7 linked regions of the Rattus norvegicus genome follow. The protein of the gene in region 1 binds, or shares a complex with, the protein of each later gene. Links are inferred from orthologs where the notes say so. Each region holds a gene or a part of one and is shown in the gene's direction. Other genes may lie near its edges. The genes, in order: Tmem17, Cep290, Tmem107, Mks1, Tctn1, Tmem67 and Ahi1.

Region 1 (4,107 bases):
CAAAGGACGAAATTATCTTAGGCTCTCTTCAGTCCTCTTGATATCCATTTACCACTTGCCTCTGTATCTGATCATTCCATTCAGAAAACACCTTTGGAATCTGTTAGGTTAGCCGATTGTGGCTTTCACCAATCCACCAACCCAAAGCTATTATACCCTCATACAGCATTTGAGACCTATGGCAAAGGTGTCCCTGCCTTGCTGTGACCTGCCTACCTGGTGTCCTCACTAATGGATTTAGTAGACGCATTGATTTATGGCTATCTTGCACCCTCTAGTAATACAAATTCATATTGCCACTTTGATGGCGGAACAGATTACCTGGATAACCTGAATCTATCTTTCCCGCTTTGGGGACTCATAGTTAGCTCAGAATAAATCCTTTCTCACTCCCTTTGGGAACGAGGTTTCTGATGGAGTTACAGACGTGAGCCACCATGTGGGTAAAGGGAAATGAACCGGGGTCCTCTGCAAGAGCAGTGAGTGTTGGTAACCGCTGAGACATCTGCAGACCCACCGCCCTTCACCAGAAAGATGAAAAGGTTAGGGTGGAATATAAGCCCACACTCATGAAATAACAGGGACGTTCAAATATAGCTGGAGGTGGGAGAGTCTGATGAAACCTCTTTGGGAATGTGTTCGTAGATCCCAATAAAATCGGTCTTACACACCACTCCACTCAGCACTTCTCCGGCACACTCTCAACATAAACGTGAATGTTACACTTGACAAAAAGGTGTATGTTATACTCAACATAAACATATGCTTACCAACAAGCATTTTCACCAACAGTGGCACCTGTCATAACTGCTCCTACGTAGAAACTACACAGAAACTTATCAACATAGACAAACTTGGTGTGATCATAAAATAAAAAGAAGATTCATACAAATGTTGACATCAAAGTCAGATTTTCTTTTTAAACTTCAGTGTGCGATTAGTGTACTATAAAGTTGCTTCATAAGCAACTGAGAAAACGTAGCTCCTGGAGATGCTGATACGGTTGACTGACTTGGGTGCTGGTACATCCGATTGTGCTTTTCTTTATATGGCTATTACGGTTTGTTCTGGGTTTTAAGGATTTTGCAATGTAGTCCAGGCTAGCCTGATCTCCTGTCTCTGCCTGAGTGCTAAAATGATACATCTTAAGGGAGAGCAGGGAACGGCTGATGTTTTTAGTTTTTAAGTCACCCATATTCCAGAAACAACTGCTCTCAATACTTTTGAGTTATTTTCCTGTCTTCTGAAGCAGGTTTGCTTGTCTCATCCACCCTGGCCTTACTCCAGATTTTATGTACCGATAGAAAGGAACCTACTGGGTCAAGCGCATTCTTTAAGATTTATGTTTCTTTTCCATTTCCCTCTAGAAATGGCGCACCAATTTTACGGAAAAACTGCCTTGGTGTGAGAGCTCCTTGTGGCTCAGCTCAGGACCAAATGGCTTATTACTTGTGATCATCTTAAGACGCTGCAGCTTTAAAGCAAGACGGAGGAACCCTCCATTTTCAGCAGCACTAGGCCACATTCGGCAGCGGGCCGGTGGCTCCCGCTCGCCTCTCCGCGGAGAAGGCTCTGGAGGACTCTGTTCCGCGCCGGGCAGCCCAGGAACCAGGTCCCCAGCGGCCAGCACAGCCCTGTTGCCAAGGGAACCGCCACGCGCCGCTGAGCTGGCCCACTAGCGGGAACGTGAGGGGATAGGCCCGGGCAGGCCAGACATGGAGCTGCCGGACCCTGTTCGTCAGCGCTTGAGCAACCTCAGCCTCACCATGTTCGGCGACTCCAGCCGTACCGGGCCAGAGTCCAGTGAGGCCGCGGGTGAGTGGCAAGGGGCCCCACGCGGAGGTGTGGTTCGCGGGCGGGCGGCCGCATAGGCCGTGCCCGGGTCAAAGATGGCGGCCACGGCTTCAGCCAGGGTACTGTCCTGGGTTAGGAGACCGCGACCCTGTGGCGGACCCGGGAGACCACGAGCTTCAGTAGCCACAGCTACTGCACCCGGTGGCGCTGTCGCCGAGCGGATTGGGAGGCAGAGTGCATAGCAGGAACGCCTTCTCCCACAAGCCGGTCCCCGCTACGTGAAAGCAGTCCGCTCGCAGGCCAGGGTGGGGAAGAGGCTTCCCGCTCCCACCCTGCACAAAACCGGGCTGTGTCCAAACTCCTAGCAGAGCAAGCACGTTCCTCACCAGCCACTGGCAGCGGCCAAGCTAACATGGCCTTCCTCTGCCTGTTCCTTTCTCCCTGTATAAAAAACTCTCTCCCTCAATCTAATAACGAAATACCACCGAGTTGACCCCAGTTTCTGCCTCCTCAATCAGGACGACAGCGTACATGATTTTCACCTTTGAACTCAAGAAAGTGGAAATCCGTCTTGATTTGGGCTTTTTTTATTTTTATTTTTTAAAGGGGGTATTGGAAAACAAAGCCACTTCTCATCATTGCATTTTGTCACCTTGGTCATTTGTGTAATTTAGGTTATGTAGGGGAAAACCTGAAAAAAATTAGGATTTTATGTTTCTGATTTAAAGTGCGAGCCTTACCGTGCAGAGCCTCAACAACCTAGATAGTAGCAAGGCTGACTATGCATTTACTCCCAGCACTCAGTGGGCAGAGGCCAGCCTAGTCTTCAGATCAAGTTCCAGGACAGCCAGGGCTATACAAAGAAACCCTGCCTTGGGGGAAAAAAAGTCATTCCTATATTTGGGATAATTTAGGATAGTTTAAGAAATCAAAGCAAGAAAAACAGACCACAATAGTCAGCCTTGCTCTTAAAACTTAGTTTCCTTCTAGAGACCATGATTTTTTTTTCATTAATTTGTTTTATTTTATGTGCATTGGCTTTTATGCTTGTGTGCCTGCATGTACACCTGTGTTACAGACAATTGTGAACTGCCATGTGGTTGCTGAGAATTGAACACAGGTCCTCTGGTTAGAGCAGTCAGTGCTCTTAACAACTGAGCCATCTCTCCAGTCCCCTACCCCATGATTGTTTTAAAAGTATTAACCGTCAATTAAAAAAAACTATGCAGAGAAAAACAAAAATCAGTTTCAGTGGAAATTCTCATTATCTTCCTAAATTCTTACATTTAGAACAACCAATTTAAAATAAGAATGTAGTTAAATTATAATGTATTTTAGGGCTCAATTTTTATAATCAAATTCTTGTTGAAGGACCTTTTGTTTTCTTTTTTTTTCTCTCTCTCTCTCTTTTTTCTTTTTTTCGGAGCTGGGGACCGAACCCAGGGCCTTGTGCTTCCTAGGCAAACGCTCTACCACTGAGCTAAATCCCCGGACCTTTTCTTTTATACAAAAGCAAAAGATGTTGGGTAACCAGTCTAGTAAGTAGAATGTGTGAGTCACAAATGGCCACCTGTATGGCAGCATGCTTTTGAAAATCAGTTCTTTTTGCTTCTACATGGTTGGTATTTGTACGATTCTGAACAGGACATGTTAAGTGAAATCTGTGCTTACACTGAGACAGCATTGTCTCCGTATACAAGGAAGGGCACTGTCTGTGGAGTGCCCACTAAGTGTGATAGGCATAATGGAAAGAGTGGAGTTCCTCACAACAGCCTGTGAGGAGTCATCCCTCCAGAGATGATTAGGGGAATGCCCAGAAAGATGTAATAATGTATCCCAACTCTGGCTCCTAGAGTCTCTGTCTTCTGTCTTACTTAGTCTTTCTAGTGCTGTGAAGATACAACGTAACCAAGGAAAACATTTAATGGGAGCCGGCTTACAGATTCAGAGGTTTAGTCCATTATCATCATGTTAGGAAGCATGGCAGACGTGCTGGAGGAGTAGTTGAGAATTCTACATCCAGATTGGCAGGCAACAGGAAGAGAGAGTGACAGTGGACCTGGCTTGAGCGTCTGAAACCTCAACGCCCAACTCCAGTGACACTTCCTCCTACAAGGCCATGCCTCCTAATAGTGCTGCTCCCTGTATATACGTGTGTGTGTGTGTGTGTGTGTGTGTGTGTGTGTGTGTGCAAGCAGCACTCTTGACCACTGAACCATCTCTCCAGCCCTAACCAGCACTTCTTATATGCAGTTCAGAGAGGAAAATACCTAGAGGGGCAAGATTTCTTTCGGAGTGGGGGAACATAATCAA
Region 2 (3,500 bases), on another chromosome or scaffold:
ATTTTAACTACTTCCACTGTCTACTTCATCCTTTGTAAATGAAAATGGCAATATTTACTTGGACTCCTGCCAAGTGAAGTTCCCCGGTACAGAAGTGACTTGAAAATTACAAATTCACATATAAATACCTTTTGTTTAAACCTGAGAATATGTGATAAAAACCAGGCTTAATAAATGTTTGTTAAATTTGCTTTTAAGGAACTGTAGTGACAGAGTGTTCACAACATATTATATATTAAAGACTATTAGCATCAGTCAGCTTTTTTTAAACATAAAATTGGTATGAAATGGTTCAGTTTCTAATCATAGATCATCTTCCTGGCTTCAGTTCAGTGGAATGTTGGCCCACTTAGGATTCTATCCCTTTCTGATGGCCCATTAGAACTTTGACTGTTTACTCTTGGACCTGAGATACCGTAGCACATGTTTGTGAATATGTAAGTAGCTGCCACTTGAGAGTCTTTCTTTTGAAGATCCTGTGTGATGCTGCTTTGGTCTTGATTCTCGCAGTCTGTTGAATATACAGGAGAGTTTATATTTTTTTGTATACTAATCTTATGCCATGTACTGGACTGCAAATTTATGTTTTTTATAATCTGTTTTCATTTCTCTTTTGAGCCACATCTCACCCTGGGCCAGGCTGTCCTAGTTAGAGCTCACTGGGCAGTGTAAGCTTTCGGACTCACTGTAATCTGCCTTAGCTGACTCAATCCTGAAATCATAGGCATGGACCACTGTGCCTTACTGAAGAGTACCTAGGCTTTCAGATCTAATTCCTAAATGAAGGAAGTAGTAATCTTCTGAAGTAACTTGCGTGTATAGTCTTTTACCACATATGGCGTATAGACATAACCATAGTCTGTGGTTGTGGCTTTCCAACGTCATTTTGTTTTGATTTGCTTTGTTTTTTTAAATCAAGATATTGCTTGCAATACCCAGTCTGGTCAATACATGTGATTGTTTATCTCAGGCTCCAAGAAACTCATGCCAACGAAGTAAAGAAAGTGAAAGCAGAGGTAGAGGACTTAAGGCATGCTCTAGCCCAAGCACAGAAGGACTCCCAGAATTTAAAGTCTGAACTCCAGGCTCAGAAAGAAGCAAACTCCAGGGCACCAACAACCACAATGAGGAATCTAGTAGACAGGCTAAAGAGCCAGCTAGCTTTGAAAGAGAAGCAGCAAAAGGTAAGTGCCTCATGGCCACCAAGGAAAAGGGCTAGAAATCTGGAGGTCCGAAAAAGGCACTAAGCACTGTTGAAAGAAAAGAATGTGGTTTCTAATGTGGTTGCTTAGAAATTCTTTCACATGGCTCTGCTCTGTGCTAATGCTATTTTAAAATGCAGATATAGTGCAGTTGATTTATGTATGGAGGTCTGCAAGTATCTCTAAGAAGGAAAAGACATCTTAGCCTCATTATTTCTCATTTCCGTTGGTTTTTCATGTTGCTCAGGCAGTTTTGAACACTTTAGAGGACTGGGGTGATATGGTGGTAAAAAGGAAGAGAGATGACAGAATGTGGCTTCAGAGGCTTTCTGTGAAAAGTTGGTCAATAGATTTAATAGGAAATCGTAGTTTTGCTGTGTTTTTTATTTATCTCAGACTTGGTAAATGGTTTAGAAGATGCTACGCTTTCCCCACCCAGTTCATGAATTTTATGGACACGTATTTTATTTTATTTATTTTTTATTAATGGAGTATTTATTTACATTTCGAATGTTATTCCCTTTCCCGGTTTCCAGGCCAACATCCCCCTAACCTCTCCCCCTCCCCTCCTATATGGGTGTTCCCCTCCCCATCCTCCCCCCATTACTGCCCTCCCCCAAACAAGCACGTTCACTGGGGGTTCAGTCTTAGCAGGACCAAGGGCTTCCCCTTCCACTGGTGCTCTTACTAAAATATTCATTGCTACCTATGAGGTCAGAGTCCAGGGTCAGTCCATGTATAGTCTTTAGGTAGTGGCTTAGTCCCTGGAAGCTCTGGTTGCTTGGCATTGTTGTTCATATGGGGTCTCGAGCCCCTTCAAGCTTTCCAGTCCTTTCTCTGATTCCTTCAACGAGGGTCCTGTTCTCAGTTCAGTAGTTTGCTGCTGGCATTCGCCTCTGTATTTGTTGTATTCTGGCTGTGTCTCTCAGGAGAGATCTACATCCGGCTCCTGTCGGCCTGCACTTCTTTTGCTTCATCCATCTTGTCTAATTGGGTGGTTGTATATGTATGGGCCACATGTGGGGCAGGCTCTGAATGGGTGTTCCTTCTGTGTCTGTTTTAATCTTTGCCTCTCTATTCCCTGCCAAGGGTATTCTTGTTCCCCTTTTAAAGAAGGAGTGAAGCATTCACGTTTTGATCATCCGTCTTGAGTTTCATGTGTTCTAGGCATCTAGGGTAATTCAAGCATTTGGGCTAATAGCCACTTATCAATGAGTGCATACCATGTGTGTTTCTCTGTGATTGGGTTACCTTACTCAGGATGATATTTTCCAGTTCCAACCATTTGCCTAGGAATTTCATAAAGTCATTGTTTTTGATAGCTGAGTAATATTCCATTGTGTAGATGTACCACATTTTCTGTATCCATTCCTCTGTTGAAGGGCACCTGGGTTCTTTCCAGCTTCTGGCTATTATAAATAAGGCTGCTATAAACATAGTGGAGCACGTGTCTTTGTTATATGTTGGGGCATCTTTTGGGCATATGCCCAAGAGAAGTATAGCTGGGTCCTCAGGAAGTTCAATGTCCAATTTTCTGAGGAACCTCCAGACTGATTTCCAGAATGGTTGTACCAGTCTGCAATCCCACCAACAATGGAGGACTGTTCCTCTTTCTCCACATCCTCGCCAGCATTTGCTGTCACCTGAGTTTTTGATCTTAGCCATTCTCACTGGTGTAAGGTGAAATCTCAGGGTTGTTTTGATTTGCATTTCCCTTATGACTAAAGATGTTGAACATTTCTTTAGGTGTTTCTCAGCCATTCGGCATTCCTCAGCTGTGAATTCTTTGTTTAGCTCTGAACCCCATTTTGTAATAGGGTTATTTGTCTCCCTGCGGTCTAACTTCTTGAGTTCTTTGTATATTTTCGATATAAGGCCTCTATCTGTTCTAGGATCGGTAAAGATCTTTTCCCAATCTGTTGGTTGCCGTTTTGTCCTAACCACAGTGTCCTTTGCCTTACAGAAGCTTTGCAGTTTTATGAGATCCCATTTGTCGATTCTTGATCTTAGAGCATAAGCCATTGGTGTTTTGTTTAGGAAATTTTATCCAGTGCCCATGTGTTAGAGATGCTGCCCTAGTTTTTCTTCTATTAGTTTGAGTGTATCAGGTTTGATGTGGAGGTCCTTGATCCACTTGGACTTAAGCTTTGTATAGGATGATAAGCATGGATCGATCTGCATTCTTCTACATGTTGCCCTCCAGTTGAACCAGCACCATTTGCTGAAAATGCTATCTTTTTTCCATTGGATGGTTTTGGCTCCTTTGTCAAAAATCAAGTGACCATAGGTGTGTGGGTT
Region 3 (4,300 bases), on another chromosome or scaffold:
GTGTGTCTGAGGACAGCTACAGTGTATTCATATATAATAAATAAAAAATTAAAAAAATCTACGTTGTTGTTATTTAAGTTACAAATACTATACTGTTTGTCAAACATTCCACCAGTCTTTTATAATGAAAGTGTGAGTGTGTGTGTGGGTGGGGGGTGTCTTTTGTCTGGTTTGGGATCTCATGTTAGGTTAGGTTTATCCCCCACTCAGTGGGAAGAACTCCAGCCTGTCTTTCATGACCTTTAAGTAAAAAACGTTGACTCTGCATTCTAAATGTTTTTACTCACTGGTTTAGGTAAGGGGACCCCATGTATTACTTTAGGGAGACAGAAACATTTCCTCTCTCTCTCCCCCTCCCCCCAATTCCTTGAAACGAAAATTTAGGAATTATCTATTTCAAAACTTTCCTTTGATATTATTCTAGTGTCACCCTTTAAAGTTTTTAAATTTACAGCATACATTACCTTGCAGGGTTTTGTTGGGGTTTTGTGTGTGTGTGTGTGTGTGTGTGTGTGTGTATTTGTTTGTTTTGTTTTGTTTGTTTGTTTTGTTATCAGTCTCTCTGCCTAGAATATAAACTGGAGGGACTTTATCGATGTATTCTGAGTCAAGCACAGTGCCTGGCATCTGGGAGACATCAGATATTTGTTGAATGAATGAAATCCCTCTGGGTCTTGTCTTTTAGGCTGGTTTAGAGGCACACACACACACACACACACACACACACACACACACACACACACAGAGAAATGAGAGAAGAGGGGGTGCAAAAGGAGGAGGTTCATTGTCAATGGGACTTGATTGTGAACTGGGATGGTAGTGAGAACTTTCCGATCGCAGGCATTTCATCCGAAGCCCCAAATCAGTCACATCACCCTAAGAAGAGGTTCTGGGTCTGTAACTGAGCAATGTCCGCGGCCTGGCAACTCAAAGCGAGAGTGAAATCGGTGGTGAATCAGCCTGGTTTAAGCCTCCCAGGGGCGCACAAGCTGTTCTAGTCCCCCACTCCATTCTTCACCTTTTCAGATCCCTTGGGATCCCGAGGAGGCTGTCACCTCATCCACCCACATCCTATTCTACCCATTCCAAGGTTGCTCATTTCTGCACTCGGCAAATCTTTCATGAAACCGAGACAAGTTATTTAGGGAGAAATTAGAGTCGTTCATCGGCAGAGGTTTGGTCTTGGGTGGGAGAGGGAGCCCTCTGACAACCAGGGGCTGTGGGGGGGGGGCGGGGAGGGCTTGGCGAGACTGTGGGGCAAAGCTCGGTGCTGAAGCTCTACTCCTTCGTTCCCTCATCTCCTGGCGCCCAAGGCAGTGAGTGGGAAGCACAGGAAAAGGGAGGATTTGGTGGTTACGGGTGCATCCTCCCGGATTCATCCCACAAGCACCAGGAGGTGAGCATCGGCTCGGGTACCTGGCCTATAGACATCTGCAGAGGGCGCAGCACTATCGCGAGACTTCCGGAGGCAGCTGCATGGCGCCTGAGGACGCAGTTACCATGGCAACCGGGCGGCGCCTGAGCACGCGGGAAGGAGGCTTAAGTAGAGAGGTCTGGCCTGCTTGCTCTGGGAGACTTGATGAGTGACCCTCCTCAGACTTCTACGGCCTCCGCTTTGGGCCCCCGAGGCCATGGGTCGGATCTCCGGGCTCGTGCCCTCTCGATTCCTGACGCTCTTGGCTCATCTGGTGATTGTCATCACTTTGTTCTGGTCCCGGGTAAGACGTGGACAGGGCGCGCGCGCGTGTCTTCTTGTCCCTCCCATTCTCACCTTAGAGTGGACCCAGCTCAGCTCAGTCCACTCCCACAGACCCACACTGGGTCCGTTGCTCCCGTCCCCCGCAACCCCATCCCTCTTTTGACATTTCTTTCTTTCTTTCTGCCCGGCTCACCAGGAAAGCAACATCCAGGCTTGCCTGCCTCTCAAGTTCACCCCGGAGGAATATGAGAAGCAGGACAACCAGTGAGCTCTTGGGGCGGGGTGAGAGTGCCAGGGTCTTCTACGCAATCCGGAAACCCAGGTCCATCACCCTTTCTCTCTGCAGACTGGTAGCAGCGCTCTGCCTCACCCTGGGCCTCTTTGCAGTGGAGCTGGCTGGCTTCCTCTCAGGAGTCTCCATGTTTAATAGCACCCAGAGCCTCCTCTGTATCCTTTCTGCCTGGCCAGCGTCCCCATGCGACATCATCACCACTCACTCTTTCCACTTCTGTAGGCCTTTTGGGCACAAGTCTCTGCCCTACGTGGCAAAGCGAATCTCTCTAGGTGAGAGGTTTTAGACAGTTTTGGGGAATTAATAGACTTCAAACCTTAAACCCTGATGTGAGCCAGGTTCTGGCGATCCATGAGTGGGAGTAAAACCACTTTATCCTGTTTGAGGAAGAGATGGATAAACATCTGTAAATCAGTGTGATTAAACAGTATTCTGTAGGAGTGTGCAAAATACAAACCATTGTGGGAACTCAAAAGGGACCAAGAAAATGAGACACATAGGAAGGTTCTCGATACCCGGGTGTGATGTTGCAAACCTTTAATCCTAGCACTAGGGAGGCAGGAGCAGGTGAATCTCTAAGTTCGAAGCCAGCTTGGCCTACATAGTGAGTTCCAAATCAGCCAGGGCTACATAGAGAGACCCTGTTTTTTAAAAAAAAAAAAAAAAAAAAAAAGATAGCCGTTGACTCTGAGTTGTGGACAAGGAGGACCAGAGCACTGGAGAAATTCCCACAGTGTATCAGACCTGTAGGTATTCTTGTGAGGCCTAGGGCATATGTGACATTAACTCCCAAAAGTGTACAGGGAGAGGTCCTATCAAAACAAACTCAGCTCTGGCCTCTTACACATAAGTGTCCACAAATTCAGAAGGCATGGCTGCCAACTCTGGTGTTTGTCTTAAGGGAAGGGAACAAGCTGAGCCCAAGTCCGAGTACTAAAGGGACCCATCACTTACCTATTATTTTCCTTGACTCTGCTGTATTTTTAAGCCATTGCAGCCCACTGTAGCGCGTCTGTGGCCCTATCTTTCTTCATATTCGAGCGATGGGAATGTACCACGTACTGGTACATTTTTGCCTTCTGCAGGTTATTTTGGAATGGAGGGTGGTGGAAAGTCTACCCCAAATCTGAAGGTTTCCCCCACCTAGACCTTTCCTGCACATGTGAAATTGGTAGAGTTTTAAAGAGTCGTACCCATCCGCTAACCCACTCACATATAAGGCTTGGAGGTTTGAGTGTTTGGGTCGGAAGGGGCTCTAAACCCACCCCCTACTTCCACAGCGCTTTTCCAGCTGTCACTGAAACTGCGTTATTCATCGCTGTCTTTGGGCTGAAAAAGAAACCCTTCTGATCACAATCCGATGAAGAGACCAAAGCCGGAAACGTGATGAACTCCCTCCCATTGCTGGAAGAAGAAAGGGAGAGGCTTCAGTTTTCTCTCGCCCTAGTCTTTTGCTCCTCCCAACTGCGTCTAAACAGAAAATGGCAATGTTGGGATAAGATCTCACAAATCTTGGGTTATAATTTTATTAGAGTTTTGTAATAAAATTCATTTTATAATAAGAGCAAGGCTTAGACTATTTGTCAGAAGACCATTGGGTAAATCAAAAGGCTGATGTAAATAAAGGCTTTTTTCTAGCCTTCTGTACGTGAGCTAGTAGCTTATGCTTCTATTTGGATTTTTACGGTACAAAATAGGCGGAAGTGAGTGGGCGGGAATATGTAAATAAGAACCTCACATAGGGCTTCTAATTTGCTGTATGTGAGCGGAGCATTATGGGAGAACTTTGTTTCTCTCTTTCTGCGCCGAATGGAAAAATAAAATATTTCAGGCGACTTGCAAATAGATATTGCTCTTGAGTTGCAATAACTATAAGTCATTGGGTTCGTGCTAAATTGTCATATTCTCACCCTTTCTTTAATATGGAATGTCTTTACTTAATTAGGAATGGGCTCCCTTTGTCCTTTATCGTCAGGAGGTTAATCCTTACCTGTTCCTCCTCTCGGAGGGCAGATAGAAAATGATGATTGGAGCTTGCATGATCTGCTGATTAGCATTTCCGTGTAATCAGGACCTGACAACATCCTGATTGCTCCTATCTGATTCTCTGACGATCATATTTATTTCGCATGTACTGACTGATAGAATTTAGGAATTTTGTCCTGTGCTCCTGAAATTTCTCCTAACACTGGTCAGAGCCATGACTTTAAGGTGCTTTTAGTAATTGTGTATATGACTGACTGATTGCTCAGACCTTATTTCTATGACAACAAGTGCCTTGCTGCTGATTGTTTGCCCAGCTTCTAGAA
Region 4 (3,946 bases), on another chromosome or scaffold:
TGGGCACACATGCCAAAGTGTGGAGGTCAGACGACAACTCTGTGAAATAAGCTTTCTCCTTCTAAGGATCAAACTCAGGTCATCATGCTTAGTGACAAAGGTCTTCACCCACTGACCCATTTCTACAGCTCTTGATTGATTTTTTTTAATTGTTTGTTCTTCTTTTGTTTTGTTCTGTTTAAAATGAGGTCTTAGACTTGAAGTCCTTTTATTTATGCCTCCAGTGCTGGCAATCCAAACATAAACCCCCTCCCCTGGATATTCTCAGCTTAAAAAAAATCAGATTGACTTGCTTTTCCATCTCCATGGTTTCAGTCTATAGAAATCATTCTTTAGTTGGAAATTGTATTTTCTTTTCTTTTTTTTTTTTTTTTTTTTTTTGGAGCTGGGGACCGAACCCAGGGCCTTGCGCTTCCTAGGTAAGCGCTCTACCACTGAGCTAAATCCCCAACCCCGGAAATTGTATTTTCTTAAGGATGTGGATGGGAGACAGTAAGTCAGTGGAAGGTTTGAGGCCACAAAAACCAAACCAGGCTGGAATCTGTTTTTACCACCTCGGCACTCATTAAGAAGCCCCTTAATTTACTCCTGGCCTTCGGTAACTTCATCCTTTAAATTGCAATAAAGTATCTCTTGGAGAGGTTTTGGGGAGGGTTACAGTCAATATAAACTGCGTGAGGTCCCATTGGGTATGTGCTATTTGTGGTGAGTTCTTAGTGTACACAATGAGTAGCTAATGCGCCCAGGACTTCTCTGCCCTATAATCAAATGGCCATGAAATGTCTCAGTCCAGGCAACAACTGCTTGTTCAGCTGAATGGGCAGCAACTGTCAAATACTTATTACCAATATTGATATTGCCAAACAGCCGGAATTAAGTTTATACTATCTTTCCTTTGATGCTCCAGTGAACCATGACTTCTGAATGTCACTTTGGTTTTTCAGGGGCTGGCTTGGAATCTTAACTGCTTAATAATCCAGAACAGACATGCCACGGGGAAAACACCCTTTCCTTCCTTTCTGCTGGATTCCTTGTTTTTACTGCTGGCTTCCTTGTTTTTTCTTTCTCTGGCTCAGTGCGTACCCACAAAACTACTGATATACCTGCCCTACAGGTTTCTTTGTGGTTTTTTTCTTCAAAGAATATGTTTTATTTTCGTAGCATGTCCTTTCAACCATACTCACCAATTGTTTAAGCCTGAGTTTTCTTTCTTTAAAAAAGTTTTTTTATTTATTTCATGCATAATGGTGTTTTGGCTGAACATAATACGTCTGCGCACAGTATGTCCACTGTAAGGCGACAAGGTGTCTGACCCCTCTGGAACCGGAGTTACAGACAGGTGTGAGTGGCCATTTGAGCACGCTGGTTCCTCTGGAAGTCTAGTCACTAACCTCTTCACCACTAAGCCATTTCTACACGCCCCCTAGGCCAAAGTTTTCAAATGTTCAGTGGAAGGCAGTGTTTGGTCAGAAAGCAAGAACTCTGGTCACCTGGTTCTGGCCGCCATCACCATTTTTGCACCTAAATAAAGTAGCTGATGGCGGTTTCCTCATTTGTGCAGTGCATTAGCTCTCACACAGGACAAGCAAGGCTGCAGACGTCACACATGCTCACTTGCTGAGGGTCCCTTGCTTCTACATTAAGGACTGGCTGCCGCAGGCGTGGAGAGCTGCGTGCGCAGAGCCTCCCTTGTCTAAGAAGCCAGCGTCTCCGTTGCCAGGGGAACGGGGCGCGCTTTCCGGCGCGGTCGCCGCGCGAAGCAGCTGTCATGGCGGAAGCCGTCTGGAGCACTGACACCGGCGAGGCCGTGTATCGCTCCCGGGACCCCGTGCGCAACCTGCGCCTCCGGTAGTCACTCCACCCCAGCTCCAGGGTCCCCTTACTCTAAGCTCCAGGGCCCCCTAACTTTATTCCACCCTTAAGCTTTTGGATGCTCAGAGGCCCCTACTTCCGCTTACAATCCCAACTACTTCCTCTGCCATTTCTGTGCGCGTTCTGGTTCAGGATCTTTTCCCACTGAAAGCTTACAAACACACCTTCCAGACTCACCCCTGTTCAAGTCCATTCAAGTTCTCGCCACTTTCAAAGCCCTCAGACCCTTCTGTCCTGCCTCACTGACTTATCCATCAGACGCCCCTACCCACCTCTTCTCTAGCTGCCGCCTTGGCACCTCTGCCTCTGTGATTTCTTTCTCCCATCCTTACTGCGTGTATCTCCTTGCTGTGTGTCTTTGACACGCACATTTGGGACTTCTCTTCTCTTGACAGAGTTCATCTGCAAAGAATCACATCAAGCAACTTCCTTCATTACCAGCCTGCTGCCCAGATGGGGAAGGACCTCATAGACTTGGCCACTTTTAAGCCTCCTCAAGCTGCTAGTGGGTGTTTGTGGAATAGAATAGAATCATTTGAGAACTGAGGCAAGGGTGCGGGGCAGTAGGGTACCGAGGAGGAACAGAAAGCTCAGAGAGGTTGAGTTTGCTGCCCAGTGTCACATAGCTGGGGAATATGGAAGCGTTTGAACCTGGGCAATCGTTTCGTTTTTTTTTGTTTTGTTTTGTTTTGTTTTTTTTGTTTTGTTTTTTTTTGTTGTGGTTTTTTTTTGTTTTGTTTTGTTTTTTTTTTTTACATTGTACTTTACATTTGTGTGTCTGCAAGCCCATGCCACAGTGCAAGAGTGAAGTTCAGGGGATAACCTTTGCGAACCAGTTCAGTTCTCTCTCTGTACCTGATGCGTCCTGGGACTTGAGCCATCTTACTCATCCTAGTTGTGACTTTGACCGGGATTGGGGGCCGTTGGGGGGTCGGTAGGGAGACTGGGGTGGGGGGGGGAATGGGGGAAAGGGCTTCTAAGAGAAATATGGTCCAAACTCCAAATGTATGTGTAAATACACTTACAAACAATTTTAAAAATAGGAGTTTGCATGAAAAATGTGATTTCTTGTTCTTTGCCTTCAAAGCCAAAAGAAAGGACAAGAGTCTCATGTTGGGCCAGTAATCTTTAGTGCTTTTGTTATTTCTCGTTCTACTCAGAAATATTCTTAGGCATTCTTTGTGTGGATCACAAAGGTTGTGTCTTGAGAAAGATGCACAGAACTAGGAGTGTATTAAATATAGTTCTTAAAAAAATTTATTTGCCTTCCCTCCCTCTCCTGATGGTCTCCTGAGTTAATGTTTATGGATGATTTGGTAGGTGGCTTCAGAAAAACATCAGGATGTTTATCTAGCCAATTCAGCAAATGCAGGCAGGATTGAGGAAGGGCTGACTCTTCAGCCTCTAACTAAATTTCAGTTCCTTGTACTGGACAAGATTATATTTCCTGGAAGGCAGAGTTACCTTTTATTCAAATTAGAGTAATGATTAGGACACCTCAGATCCTAATCTCTCTTCTGGCATTAACCAAAGTGTGTCCAGCATGTGCGTTCTTTGTCTAGAGTGAGTGCTTAGTGAGTCACTGAATTCCAGTGGGGTTCGTGGTCGTTGTGAATCAGGACTTTGAAGCCAGACCTGGTGGTATACACATGTAATGTCAGTATTTTTCTGGCTGAGGCAGGAGGATCTGGAATTTGAGGTCAGATTGGGTTGCAGAACGAGACACTTCCAAACAACAATAACAAAAATTTTAAGACCCAAATGAAACAAATATAGGAACACTGGTTATAACCAACCACCGAGGAAGAAGTGTGGCTGGTCTGATTCATTCTGTTGTGTTTGGAGGTGGACACCGCCCTGATGAAGAAGAGGAGGAAGAAGTTATAATTGGGTGGCAGGAGAAGCTGTTTAGCCAGGTGAGCCAGCATGACTTGTCCTCAGTCTGCCTCCACCTACCTGTCTCGTACCTGGCCACTGACTCATACTGTCAAACTGATTTCCAGAAAGGGTTGTGGTGGCTTATACTTTCTCCCGTTATGTTTACGTAGCCATTGTAATGTAACGGCTACCACTG
Region 5 (4,274 bases), on another chromosome or scaffold:
AAACTGGGGAGTCGCTCTAGAGAAAGGTCAGGCCATTTCTTATAAACTTACAAACACACATGACCATAGAATGCACTCCTAGGAAGGAGCTCTGAGAGAAATGGAAACACAAGTCCACTTAAAGTGTATAGTGAACCTGTAGAGCGGCACTCATTAAAAACCGCTGAAAACCAAAACCAAACCAAATTCTACCACCCAGTAAATGGATGACACTTGTTGCCAATAAAGACGTTGACTGGGAAGAAACCCCAGCATAGGTGACTATATCGGTTATTTTTATATATTCAGTGCCGAGAACTGAACCCTGGTCCTCTGCAAGCAGCAAGTGTGCCTAATGGCTGAGTCATCTCTCTAGCCCCTAGATGGACTCATTGACCTATGATGGGGAAAAAAAAAAAAACCTAACAAATGAGTCCCCAGGGTCCCTAAGGATTCCAAAAACGTATGAGCAGATGCAGTCTACACCTTGACTTTTACATTGGGGCCATCAGGGCTTGAGATTAGATAAGACGACTTTGAGAACTGAACTTTTCGCAGAATGGTTCGAAGCATGGGACTGTAAGACTTGAGGAGGGGTTGGAGGGTTAAGAGTTCTGGCTGCTCTTTCAGAGGTCCTGGGTTCAATTCCCAGCACCCATACGGCAGCTCATGACTGTCTATGACTGTAGTCTCATGAGATGTGATGCCCTCTTCTGGTGTGCATACGGACATAACACCCATATACAAAAAATACACAAATAAACCTAAAGAAAGAAAGGAAGGAAGACAGACAGACTTGGGAGGCAGAAGCAGGCGGTTCTCTGAGTTCAAGGAAGCCTGGTCCACAGAGTGCGATCTCGGACAGCCAGGGCTATAGAAACTCTGTCTCAAACTCCTCCCCCATCTTCCCCAACCAACCAACGAACACACGAGAACATTCCGAATGACATAACAGCAGAAATGGAGGTTGGATTCCGTGGTGCATGTCTGCATGAGGCACTGATATAGGACTTCCTTGAGTTCGAGATTAGTCAGGCGGACACAGAGAGATCCTGTCTAAAAGAACCAAAAAGTTAAGAATTCTTTTGTTTCTCTTATCATAAATACGTGGATAGAAGTGGTCTGGCGACCTCCTGCGTTGTATCTAAAGGCAAAGAAAGTAAAGTCAGTAAGTAACATGGGGTAAGAAATTCAAGGATGGTGGCAATATGTCTTAAAGGACTCCAGTCGCCTCTAAACATGCACTTCTAACCATGACACATTAGTTTACAGATTCCGGTTTTCAGAGGGCTCCTTAGAAAGAGCAGTCTCAGACCCCGCCCCCACGGTCCCGGCCCCGCCCCTCCGACGCCAATCAGGTCCCGCCCATAGCCCTGCCCAGTTCCCGCCCCTTTCGTGATCGGCGGGCCTTAACCCAATCCCCGCTGGTCTGGCTTCAGGCCCCACCTTTCTCCGCAGACTAGCGTGGCCTCGCGAGCCCTTTCCCGTGGTGCCTAGCGCTCGGCTGTGACTGTTGCCCGGCAACAGACAGGCCTAGCTCTCTGGCGCGGGATAGTATGCTAGTCCATGGGGTCGCGGTGTCTTCCGCCGCTCCTGCTGGTGCTCCTAAACTGCTGCACCTCTTCGAGCACCCAGGTCGTTGCCACCCCGGCTGCGGCCACCCCGGTGGTGACGAATGAGGATCTCAACTTCACCGAGGCCACCCCGGTGGTGACGAATGAGGATCTCAACTTCACCGAGGCCACCCCGGTGGTGACGAATGAGGATCTCAACTTCACCGAGGCCACCCCGGTGGTGACGAATGAGGATCTCAACTTCACCGAGGCCACCCCCGCCACTCTCAGACCCTCCTGGTCTCCTAGGACCCCGGGAACTCCCAGGCCACCGGAGCTCTCTGGCCCCAGGCCCACCCCGGTCACGGACGGTGGGTACAAAGTGCTAACTCCCTGGAGCGAGTAGACCAGTAAGAACGTACGGAAAATGATAACCCTTCTCAAAGTTCCACCTTTCTCAGCCTCCCTGTCGTTCCCTGAGAGGGAGACGGGATCTCCAGCACACAAACGCGGAGAGCGGAGCTAAGTTACTCCCTTTCCCACATAATTTCAAACAGCTGGAGTGTTGATGCAGAAAGTGACTCTGGAGTGGAGTTCTAGATAGAAACCTTCAGAATGAGTTGTAGGCAGTACTGGTAGAAGAAAGGGTGCTAAGTAGATCTTAGTCCTTTCCATGCAGACACACGGACGTGAGCATACGAATGCTGTTTAGATGACTTGAGAGCTCAGTGGAGTTATTAAACATGCCAGCTTTACCCTCATCTTCTTACCTTCTGAAGCTTTTCCAATAATTCGTGGTTGTAATTTTAAACACATGAGGCAGTGGGCCTAATTGCTCTCTTTCTGCTTTCCGTGCCAGTTAAGGGATTGTGGCGTTATTTTAGCGAGCATGCCCAGTTGTCCATGGCTAGAGAGGACCTCATCTAGAAGGAGCACATTTGCCTTTCGGACTAAGAAACATTTTGCATTTATCAATAAACTTCCTTTTCCTTTTGTGTCTTTCCAAAGCACATTATACCATTTTGGGGGAGAATTTTTCTTAAAAAAAAAAAAATATATATATATATATATATAAATATATAACACACACACACATACACACATATTTAATTATGTGTGTATATTTGTATAGGTGAGCACTTGGGTGGCTGGATATATATTGGTGACCTTGGAGAACATAAAAGGGCCTCAGAGCCCCGGGAGCTGGAGTTGGTTTGTAAGCTGCCTGACTTGGGTGCTGGGGACAGAAGCAATATGTGCTTTTTTAAAAACTCCTGAGCTATCTCTCCAGCCTCCTGTAGAAATATTCTAGTCTCCTGCTTTCTCCTTTTTTCTTAACTTTGTTCCTGACAGTTTTGCTAAGTGACCCAGACTGGCCTATATATAACCTGATACCTTTCTGACTATCCTGACTGCTTCCCTGTTGCTGAGATTCCCAGGTGTGGGCCTCCCATCATGCCTCCCATCATGCCTCCCATCTCTAGAGGTTGTTTTTATTTTTTTTTTAAATCATTCATTCATAGAAACAATGCCATGATGTCCTATTAGCTAAAGTTCTTTAAGCCTGAGATTGTTGCCTCTCCCACTCCCCCTAGGAAACAAAACATTACAGTTAAGAATCAGGGAGCTGGAGAGATGGCTCAGTGGTTAAGAACACTGACTGCTCTTCCAGAGGTCTTGATTCAATTCCCAGCAACCACAGGGTGGCTCACAACCATCTATAATGGGATCTGATGCCCTCTTCTGGTGTGTCTAAAGACAGCTGCAGTGTACTCATATAAACAAAATAAATAATTCTTTTTTTTTTTTTTTTGGTTCTTTTTTTTCGGAGCTGGGGACCTAACCCACGGCCTTGCACTTCCTAGGCAAGCGCTCTGCCACTGAGCCAAATCCCCAACCCCAAAATAAATAATTCTTAAAAAGAAAATCAAGTCAGGTGGTGGTGGTGGTGGTTGTACACACCTTTATCCTGGGGTAAGGTGGGTGGTACAGAGGCAGGTGGATCTCTGAGTTCAAGCCAGCCTGACCTCCAAAGTAAGTTTCAGGACAGCCAAGGCTACACAGAGAATCCATCTCAAAAAAACAAAACAAACAAACAAACAAACAAACAAAAAAACCAAAAAAACAAAACAAAACAAAAAAACCCCCAAAGATTCAGTGACATTTTAGCTGGGGAAAGGGAGAACCGTGGTGGGTCACAACTGTGATCCTTCATCTTCTGCTGAGAGGTGGGAGGTTAGGAGATCCGATCCAAATGAGCCTCTGTTTCAGAAAACAAAGAGCAAAACAACCAAGATTATCAAAGCCCCAAATTTATTACTTCCTCCCCCTCACGGCAGTCAGAGCCATGCATTCAGTTTACTTCCAGGCTCTGGTACTGGTCGTCCTCGTTGTTGTATGTTCTGGTTTTTGAGATTTATAAGGGGTGTTTTGCCTCTGTAGATACCTGAATGATGCCATATATGTGCCTGGTAGGTACCTGCAGAGACCAGAAGAGGGCATGAGATCCTCTGGAACCAGAGTAACAAATGGATTTCTCTTTTTCATAGATTTATTTATTTAGTCATTTAATGTATGTGAGTACACCGTAGCTGTCTTCAGACATACCAGAAGAGGGCGTCAGATCCCACTACAGATGGTTGTGAGCCACCATGTGGTTGTTGGGATTTGAACTCAGGACCTCTGGAAGAGCAGTCAGTGCTCTTAACCACTGAGCTATCTCTCCAGCGCCTGTTATTTCTT
Region 6 (3,500 bases), on another chromosome or scaffold:
ATATCTTCCTTTACATTTGTGGAAACCAAAGGCTGTCCTGCTCGCTGGGTGGGATCAGGCGAGAGAGAGTAGTAAGTTCTGAGAAGGAGTCACGGAGGCAGAATCTGACGGGCCGTGAGCCGTCAGTGGGAACTGGCTGGGCACTGAGCTACTGCAACAGTGAGTTCGTGTTCGTCGTGTATAGTCTGTGAGAAGGTATCCATACTTCCACTGTTCAGTCTTACAAACGTTAAAGAAGGTAAGGTCCTCGCGGTGAAAACTAAGGTACAAACTGTACAGTGAGCTCAGTGGTTTAGAGCAGAGTACAGGAGGTGACACCGCGACGACGGGGAAGCTGGAATGAGAGTGAAGTGACTGAGACCACAGATCTGTGGGAAACTGTGACCACAGTGAGAAACACTAGTGTTCGTCTCAAGTCCAGTATCAGCAAGATTCCATTAGATTAATAAATCTTGTAACGTGAACAAGCTGAAGAACTTTCTTTTTTTAAAAGGCCTTTTGCAATCATTTCTATCTTAATTTAAACCCTTAAATTTTTTGTTTTTTAGGAAAATTTGTGCAGTCAAAGAGGTTTGGTGCCCAACACAGATGGGCAGACGTTTCAGATTGCCGTTTCCAGTCAGATGAGACAGCACTATGACAGAATTCACGAGACATTAACAAGGGTCTGTAAAGTATTGCTCACGCGTATTTCACCATCCTTAGGTCATTTAAGTCCCGCATCAGGCGTGCTGTGCTTACACGTTTCTCTCCTGCATATTAGAGAAATGGCCCTGCCAGACTGCTGAGCTCATCAGGGAGTACCTTGGAACAAAGTATAAAGGCATACCACGCAATGAATAAGTTCCTCGGCTCTTTCATTGACCACGTATGTGTTTGGATGTCTGTCTGTCTGTAGCCAGGGTGGTCTGCTGGCTTTGAAAAGTTAAATGAGAATTCAGTTATATTTTCACTCAGCCGTGTCAGTGAACCCATGCTTTTCTGTCATCCTAACACATAGGAATATTTTTTTAAAAAGCATTTGCAGCCACTAACAACTTATGGTTTAAACATAAAGTTAGATTACATAAAGTTAGATTATCTAAAAGAAAAATGTGATTTTAATGTGACCATTAGCAAATTATGACTCCCTTTTATATGTCCCATAAAATTCTATTGTAGAACTTTATACTATACTAGAATTGTATGTCGCCAAAATGTTATCTCACATTGAAATCCTTACACTATGATTGTATTTTTAAAAAGCATCTTATAAATCAATTTTCAGATCTTAATTTTAAATTAAACTAAAATCTTAAAGATTTTCAGTCTTAAATTTAAGAATTCAAGATTTAAAATATTTCTAAAATAATTTTTAATATTTAAAATTAATATTTATTAGTTTAAATTCTAGCATAGTGATTCGTTTTATACAAGTTTTTCTTTGTATGTTATGTGTTCTCAGCTTTTGTAGTTCTAATTTTTCATTAATTAGAAAGCATTGACTTCACTACAGTTTTTTACATGACTGTCTTCGCAAACTAGGTTCATAAGGAAATGGATTACTTCATAAAAGACAAGTTGCTTCTCGAAAAGATCCTCGGGATGGAGTTCATGGAGCCCCTGGAGAAGAGCATCTTCTACAATGGTGACCCTCGTGTCCTTGCTGAGCTTGAGGCCTGTTTGGGGGAGACGGGGTGCTGGCAGTCATTCTTCCATTGATCTTTATGATTTCATATAGAAACGATGGGGACTTGATTAGGTCAGCCTAGTCAGATGGATTCTGAAGTGTGTGAACTGACCCAGTATGAAGGTAACGAGACAGGAAGAGGTGTCATTAAGGAACATAGCAGAGCAGCTCTGGGGAGGAAGAGGAGGCGAACATTCGGGTTTTGTGCTTGTTTACTTTCCATGGTGACAGGAAACTTCTCAGGTCTTTTAAGAAGGTGTTCAAATCCCCAAAAGGACAGAATTGTGTGTTGAGGCAGAGGACCAAACTGTAGGAAACTGACACAGGAAGCCCATGCTCGCACTGTGACTTAGATTCTTATCTTTTATTCTTTTCTTGGACACTATCTCTAAGATTAGTTTAGCTGTTAGCTCTATAAGCAGAGGACGAGGATTCAGTAACTGCTCCTTAAAGGTGTTCGTAGCATACGCACTCTGTAGCAATTATCAACATTTGCTTTGATGTTGAAACTCCTGCTTGTGGGTGTTTCTGCGTGCCCTGACTACCATTTTAGACTGGCAGTCTGAAGCACCTTCTACTTTAGTGTGAGCCAAGATGTACCTCATGTTTAATCTGCTGTGGCCGGGGGGTAGCACGGATCTTCTCTGTCACTGACTGACACATCTTCCATGGCTTTCCTAGATGAAAGTCATTCTTTCAGCAGTGTGCTGTATTATGGGAACGAGGCCACTCTCCTTATCTTTGATCTGTTGTTCTTCTGTGTCGTGGACTTGGCTTGCCAGAACTTTGTTTTAGCATCCTTCCTCACCTACCTGCAGCAAGAGGTAAGTAACAGCGTGTTCTGGTTTCTCCTAAAGCAGCCATGTTAGAAGTGAGGGTATGTATTTTCTCAACAGAATGTGAGAGCATCCACTTTGAGTAGGCTTGGTGAATGTTTAGATTATGATTAACACCGCCAAAGGAAAGAACCATTCAGCAGACCACACCGCACTCTGCCCCTGGGGACCATAAATGTTCAAGGATCCAGTGGAAGGAAAGTGGCTTTAATGCCTAGGAAGATACTTACATACCACCCGTCTCCCACATACCAAAAGTGAGCACGAATTTCCCTAAGTCCCATTCACACACAAGGAGCAAACACTGGGCATGTGGTTCAGGGCTGTACTCGATTGCACACGTCTCACTGTGGGGACCATTTCAAGAAATGGCAGCTGTGCTGGAAATGCCGTTATTGGTAGCACCCAAACACCCTCTCTCACGAAGGATAAATGAGTTTCTACATGGTGTATTATTCCTGGATTTAGAATCATAGCAAATTCTTCCCTTACCAGGGAGATGTTTTTGATCTTTCCATAGTTTTAGGAGTTAAATTCCTTAAGTATTTAAAAGTATATTCTTGCAAGCATGAGAAGTATGTATATAATTCATAAAAACATTTCCTAATATGTATATTTTAAAATAAATATATCTAGTAATTAAAGTATCTCATTCATGATATGAAGTGGTTGGGAAAATTAGCTAGTTTAATTTAGGTACTTTAAATTGATTTGCATATTTAATTTTCTTCTTAATTGTTTTGCTTTTCTAGATTTTTCGATTTATCCGAAATACAGTAGGACAAAAGAATTTAGCAACCAAAACACTAGTGGATGAAAGATTTCTGATCTAATCTGTGATGCAAAACCTGAGGACTCAGTATAATGGGGCCAAGCCGTGATGTCAGGCTATCTTTTGTAAAACTCGTAATACATATTATTCTTCCTTTTTTTATCTACAGAAAGATTTATTTTTATAGCTTGTAAAATATAAGATATAGTAGAAATACTATTTC
Region 7 (3,500 bases), on another chromosome or scaffold:
GGAAGTACTTACCGCGTATGTTGTTTGCAGTCAAGGAAAACTACGAGAATATAGAGAGACACATATGCCCTTGACAGCATAGTTGTGTACCGTGCAGACTGACTGGTTAACAGTAAAACTTACGGCAAGTCATATCTTTTATTTGTGTAATATGTATCATTTCTGATTCTTGCTGTTTTTAAATGATTATATGTAAACTAATTAATATCTTGAAGAAGGTTAAATGTTTGAGATTTGTCCTATGTGCATGTGAGGATTCTGTCTTCATTGTAGGCTTGACATAGGGGCTTGAATCCCCTGGTCAGAGTAAACCAAGTAGACTCTCGGTCTAGCTCCCTAGAGCTTTATAAATTATAAATATTTGCATTTTCACAAGGTCAGTGTTCCTTTTAGTTTAATATGTTTCAGAGTACATTTTATTTATTGTCTGATTATTCAGTTTTCTTCATAGTGTTACTTGAAGCCCAGGCTAGCCTCAAATGTGCACTCTTTCTGCCTCAGCCTCCTGTGTACCCAGATCACAGGCATGGCCAGCACAAGTGATTCAATAAAATGCCCTAAAAGCTAATATTTAAGCTCTATTCACATCTTCTAGCTTTTTAACCTTGAATATTTATGGCAGTCAGAAGATGACAAAACATGATAAAAATAAAAGGTTCCAAGCTGCTCTTATCTATGTCATGTAGATGAGAAAGATGTGTTCTCCACAGCCCGCGAAGCCGTCACCAAACCCCTCGTGAGACCCACACTGATCTCACTCTCCTTTGTGCTGTCTCTCCAGTTCTCACTTAATGAGCCGTGCCATTTCCTCTGCCTGGGTTCTTCAGCTGGTCACCTTGTCAGCTGGTCACCTTGTCAGCTGCCCTTTCATATAAAATAACCAGTGATCAGAATGTCACCATTGTCATATTTCAGTGAAAGACTATAATGGAGGACAATTTACTCCCTCTATTACTCTGGGAAACTCACCACTCCTCGAAATGTACTATGGATATTGTCTGGCATATTTTCTTAGCACAGCCAATCCAGTAATACTAGAACAAAGGGCATAAATTTGCTGAGATGTGACTATGGGCTTTCAGTCCTAAGTCTAATGTCATAAATTGGATCCCTTAGAACTGGAATTACAGATGGTTATGAGCCACCGTGTGGGTCTGAGAACCTAGCCTGGACCTTCTGCAAGAGCAGCCACTACATGTAACCTAGCTGTCTCTCCAGCCCTCCCTACTTGCTAATACATATTATGCTAAATAATATTTTACTAACTATTCACTGTATATTTACTCAATATCAAAAATAGTTTTAAAGTAGATTGTGTCCAAATACAAATAAGTTTTAGTTTTACAGTGTAGGTTACAGTAATAGATAAAATATATTTCATGAGAAATGGTTTTGTAAAAGAAAAGTGAAATAATCTAGTACCATCTTGTATGCAGTCGTCATAATGGTTTTTATAAATAGTAATTTACATTAGTTTACTATTGTTTAGCATTTGCTCACCTAAGATTTATTGGCTATGTTCTTATAAAAATGTGTAGAGAACACTTTGCATTTCAGGTCTGCTCCTCTCTCTCCCACTGCAGGGTTTGGAAGAATGAAATCAACAGCACAAGCACGTTCAGAGTCTTACCTCACCCTTCCTTCGTCTACACGGCTAGATTCCACCCCGCCACACGAGAGCTGGTGGTTACGGGATGCTATGACTCTATGATTCGGATATGGAAGGTGGATGCGAGGGAAGATGCCGCCATCTTAGTGCGCCAGTTGGATGTCCACAAGAGCTTCGTCAACTCCATCTGTTTTGATGATGAAGGTATATCACAGAACGTGCTCTAAATCAAGAACAGTTACCTTGATTGTTTGATCCCTCTCTCTAATAGTTGATGCCTGTGAGACATTTGCTGTATTAATAGTTGTGTATATTTAAAGTTATTTGTAGTTTCAAGTAATGGGATAGATGTGACAGTGAAAGTGTTCTCTTAGTGACTTTAAAGTTCTTTGTATTTATATTCACTTACCATCCTTTCTTCTGAAACTCCCTCCTGTGCAGCATTTCATAAATATATTTATTTGCATTGGTGATTATTATTTTTAGTAATTGCCTTTAAGAACATTTTAAGTTAGGCCGTACAAAAATGAAAGGGATGGTGACAACCTCAAAAGAGTGCGGCAAATGCACATGCTGGGTATATTGGTAGGAGCTTTAAAGACAAATACAGAAGGAAATTTGCAGATAATTAAAGGATATCAGCGTTTGAATAATATAAGAGCCATTTTAAAATAAAACATAGGTTTTTATTGGGTAAGAGAATAAAGAAATTCATCTATTAACTTGTTATTATTATATTATTTCACAGATTAGGTATGACAGCTGCAGTTATAGGTATCTACAATAATAATTTAGAGAAAAATAATAATACTGCTATGTACGCAGTTCAACTTCAGAGAATCTAACAAATTAGAACGAGTATTTTAATATATGGCAGTACTCACCATTTGAGTAAGCTCATTCGTAAACTATTAAATTCACAGTTCTAAAAGCCATGTTTGTTAGCAGTGATGTGTCATGTATTCTCACATGGCTATGGTGTTGAATGTTTCTTATACGTCCCATTCAGTTTTTAAAAACTGGTATTAACACTTGTTACTTATGGTTTTTAAATTCTCTGATTATTTCAAATTGAATAGTCACATGACTATGTTTACAATGTGTATTAGAATATGTATTTTTCGGGCTGGAGAGATGACTCAGTGGTTAGGAGCACTGACTGCCCTACCAGAGGTCCTGAGTTCAAATCCCAGCAACCACATGGTGGCTCATAACCATCTGTAATGAGATCTGACGCCCTCTTCTGGTGTCTCTGAAGACAGCTACAGTGTACTTACAGATAGTAAATAAATAAGTAAACAAATAAATAGATAAATCTTTAAAAAAAAAAGAAATAGAAAAGAATATGTATTTTTCTAGGAGTATAAATGATTGCAAGGCTAATAATAAGAGCTACAGATACACACTGTGTACCTCAAGTACTTTGGAATAGGAGTGTGTGGGTGCGAGACGCGCAGACTCTGGATAACTAACGTTACCCAGCATGCTTTTTAAACATGAAGGACTTATGAAAGATAATTGGCATGTAGTGCGCATTCTATTTTTACCTTTTAAATAGAAAAACCCTTCATTGACAGTTCAGTGCTTTGACTGTGTGTCTAAGTCGTGGCTTCCCTCAACTTCATACCATTTTCTTTATGACGTCCGTGACCCTCTTGAGTGAGTAGCTTGCTGTTTTTAACAGGTCACCACATGTACTCAGGAGACTGCATCGGCGTCATCGCTGTGTGGGACACTTATGTCAAAGTGACTGATGTGCAGCACTCTGTGCGCCACTGGACAATAAACAAGGTACAGAACCACACCTCTTCACTTCTGCTGACCACAGTTGGGAGCCACTGATCCAGTCTCGTCTTCCGAGAGGGGACTGGTGTCACCTCATCTTCCTCAC

The links.
Region 2: Tmem17 (region 1) and Cep290 share a complex: the UniProt entries of both Homo sapiens proteins name them as parts of the tectonic-like complex. The link is inferred for Rattus norvegicus from reciprocal best matches to the Homo sapiens genes TMEM17 and CEP290.
Region 3: Tmem17 (region 1) and Tmem107 share a complex: the UniProt entries of both Homo sapiens proteins name them as parts of the tectonic-like complex. The link is inferred for Rattus norvegicus from reciprocal best matches to the Homo sapiens genes TMEM17 and TMEM107.
Region 4: Tmem17 (region 1) and Mks1 share a complex: the UniProt entries of both Homo sapiens proteins name them as parts of the tectonic-like complex. The link is inferred for Rattus norvegicus from reciprocal best matches to the Homo sapiens genes TMEM17 and MKS1.
Region 5: Tmem17 (region 1) and Tctn1 share a complex: the UniProt entries of both Homo sapiens proteins name them as parts of the tectonic-like complex. The link is inferred for Rattus norvegicus from reciprocal best matches to the Homo sapiens genes TMEM17 and TCTN1.
Region 6: Tmem17 (region 1) and Tmem67 share a complex: the UniProt entries of both Homo sapiens proteins name them as parts of the tectonic-like complex. The link is inferred for Rattus norvegicus from reciprocal best matches to the Homo sapiens genes TMEM17 and TMEM67.
Region 7: Tmem17 (region 1) and Ahi1 share a complex: the UniProt entries of both Homo sapiens proteins name them as parts of the tectonic-like complex. The link is inferred for Rattus norvegicus from reciprocal best matches to the Homo sapiens genes TMEM17 and AHI1.

What each region holds. Positions count from the first base shown.
Region 1 is NC_086032.1:100,718,365-100,722,471, forward strand, and holds the start of Tmem17 (transmembrane protein 17), read left to right. Parts: upstream 1-1,307; 5' UTR 1,308-1,715; coding exon 1,716-1,815; intron 1,816-3,212; exon of another isoform or gene 3,213-3,287; intron 3,288-4,107. UniProt on the Homo sapiens protein: Transmembrane component of the tectonic-like complex, a complex localized at the transition zone of primary cilia and acting as a barrier that prevents diffusion of transmembrane proteins between the cilia and plasma membranes.
Region 2 is NC_086025.1:37,252,283-37,255,782, forward strand, and holds part of Cep290 (centrosomal protein of 290 kDa), read left to right. Parts: intron 1-970; coding exon 971-1,184; intron 1,185-3,500. UniProt on the Homo sapiens protein: Involved in early and late steps in cilia formation. Its association with CCP110 is required for inhibition of primary cilia formation by CCP110.
Region 3 is NC_086028.1:54,269,696-54,273,995, forward strand, and holds Tmem107 (transmembrane protein 107), read left to right. Parts: upstream 1-1,500; 5' UTR 1,501-1,631; coding exon 1,632-1,718; intron 1,719-1,895; coding exon 1,896-1,963; intron 1,964-2,021; coding exon of another isoform or gene 2,022-2,045; coding exon 2,046-2,146; coding exon of another isoform or gene 2,147-2,263; intron 2,264-2,979; coding exon 2,980-3,076; coding exon of another isoform or gene 3,077-3,271; coding exon 3,272-3,341; 3' UTR 3,342-3,825; downstream 3,826-4,300. UniProt on the Homo sapiens protein: Plays a role in cilia formation and embryonic patterning. Requires for normal Sonic hedgehog (Shh) signaling in the neural tube and acts in combination with GLI2 and GLI3 to pattern ventral and intermediate neuronal cell types.
Region 4 is NC_086028.1:73,151,453-73,155,398, forward strand, and holds the start of Mks1 (tectonic-like complex member MKS1), read left to right. Parts: upstream 1-1,146; 5' UTR 1,147-1,768; coding exon 1,769-1,848; intron 1,849-2,267; coding exon 2,268-2,377; intron 2,378-3,717; coding exon 3,718-3,788; intron 3,789-3,946. UniProt on the Homo sapiens protein: Component of the tectonic-like complex, a complex localized at the transition zone of primary cilia and acting as a barrier that prevents diffusion of transmembrane proteins between the cilia and plasma membranes.
Region 5 is NC_086030.1:39,969,120-39,973,393, forward strand, and holds the start of Tctn1 (tectonic-1 precursor), read left to right. Parts: upstream 1-1,474; 5' UTR 1,475-1,545; coding exon 1,546-1,903; intron 1,904-4,274. UniProt on the Homo sapiens protein: Component of the tectonic-like complex, a complex localized at the transition zone of primary cilia and acting as a barrier that prevents diffusion of transmembrane proteins between the cilia and plasma membranes.
Region 6 is NC_086023.1:30,334,667-30,338,166, reverse strand, and holds part of Tmem67 (meckelin precursor), read left to right. Parts: intron 1-548; coding exon 549-665; intron 666-763; coding exon 764-868; intron 869-1,524; coding exon 1,525-1,627; intron 1,628-2,350; coding exon 2,351-2,493; intron 2,494-3,257; coding exon 3,258-3,338; 3' UTR 3,339-3,500. UniProt on the Homo sapiens protein: Required for ciliary structure and function. Part of the tectonic-like complex which is required for tissue-specific ciliogenesis and may regulate ciliary membrane composition.
Region 7 is NC_086019.1:17,602,531-17,606,030, forward strand, and holds part of Ahi1 (jouberin), read left to right. Parts: intron 1-1,583; coding exon 1,584-1,813; intron 1,814-3,293; coding exon 3,294-3,400; intron 3,401-3,500. UniProt on the Homo sapiens protein: Involved in vesicle trafficking and required for ciliogenesis, formation of primary non-motile cilium, and recruitment of RAB8A to the basal body of primary cilium.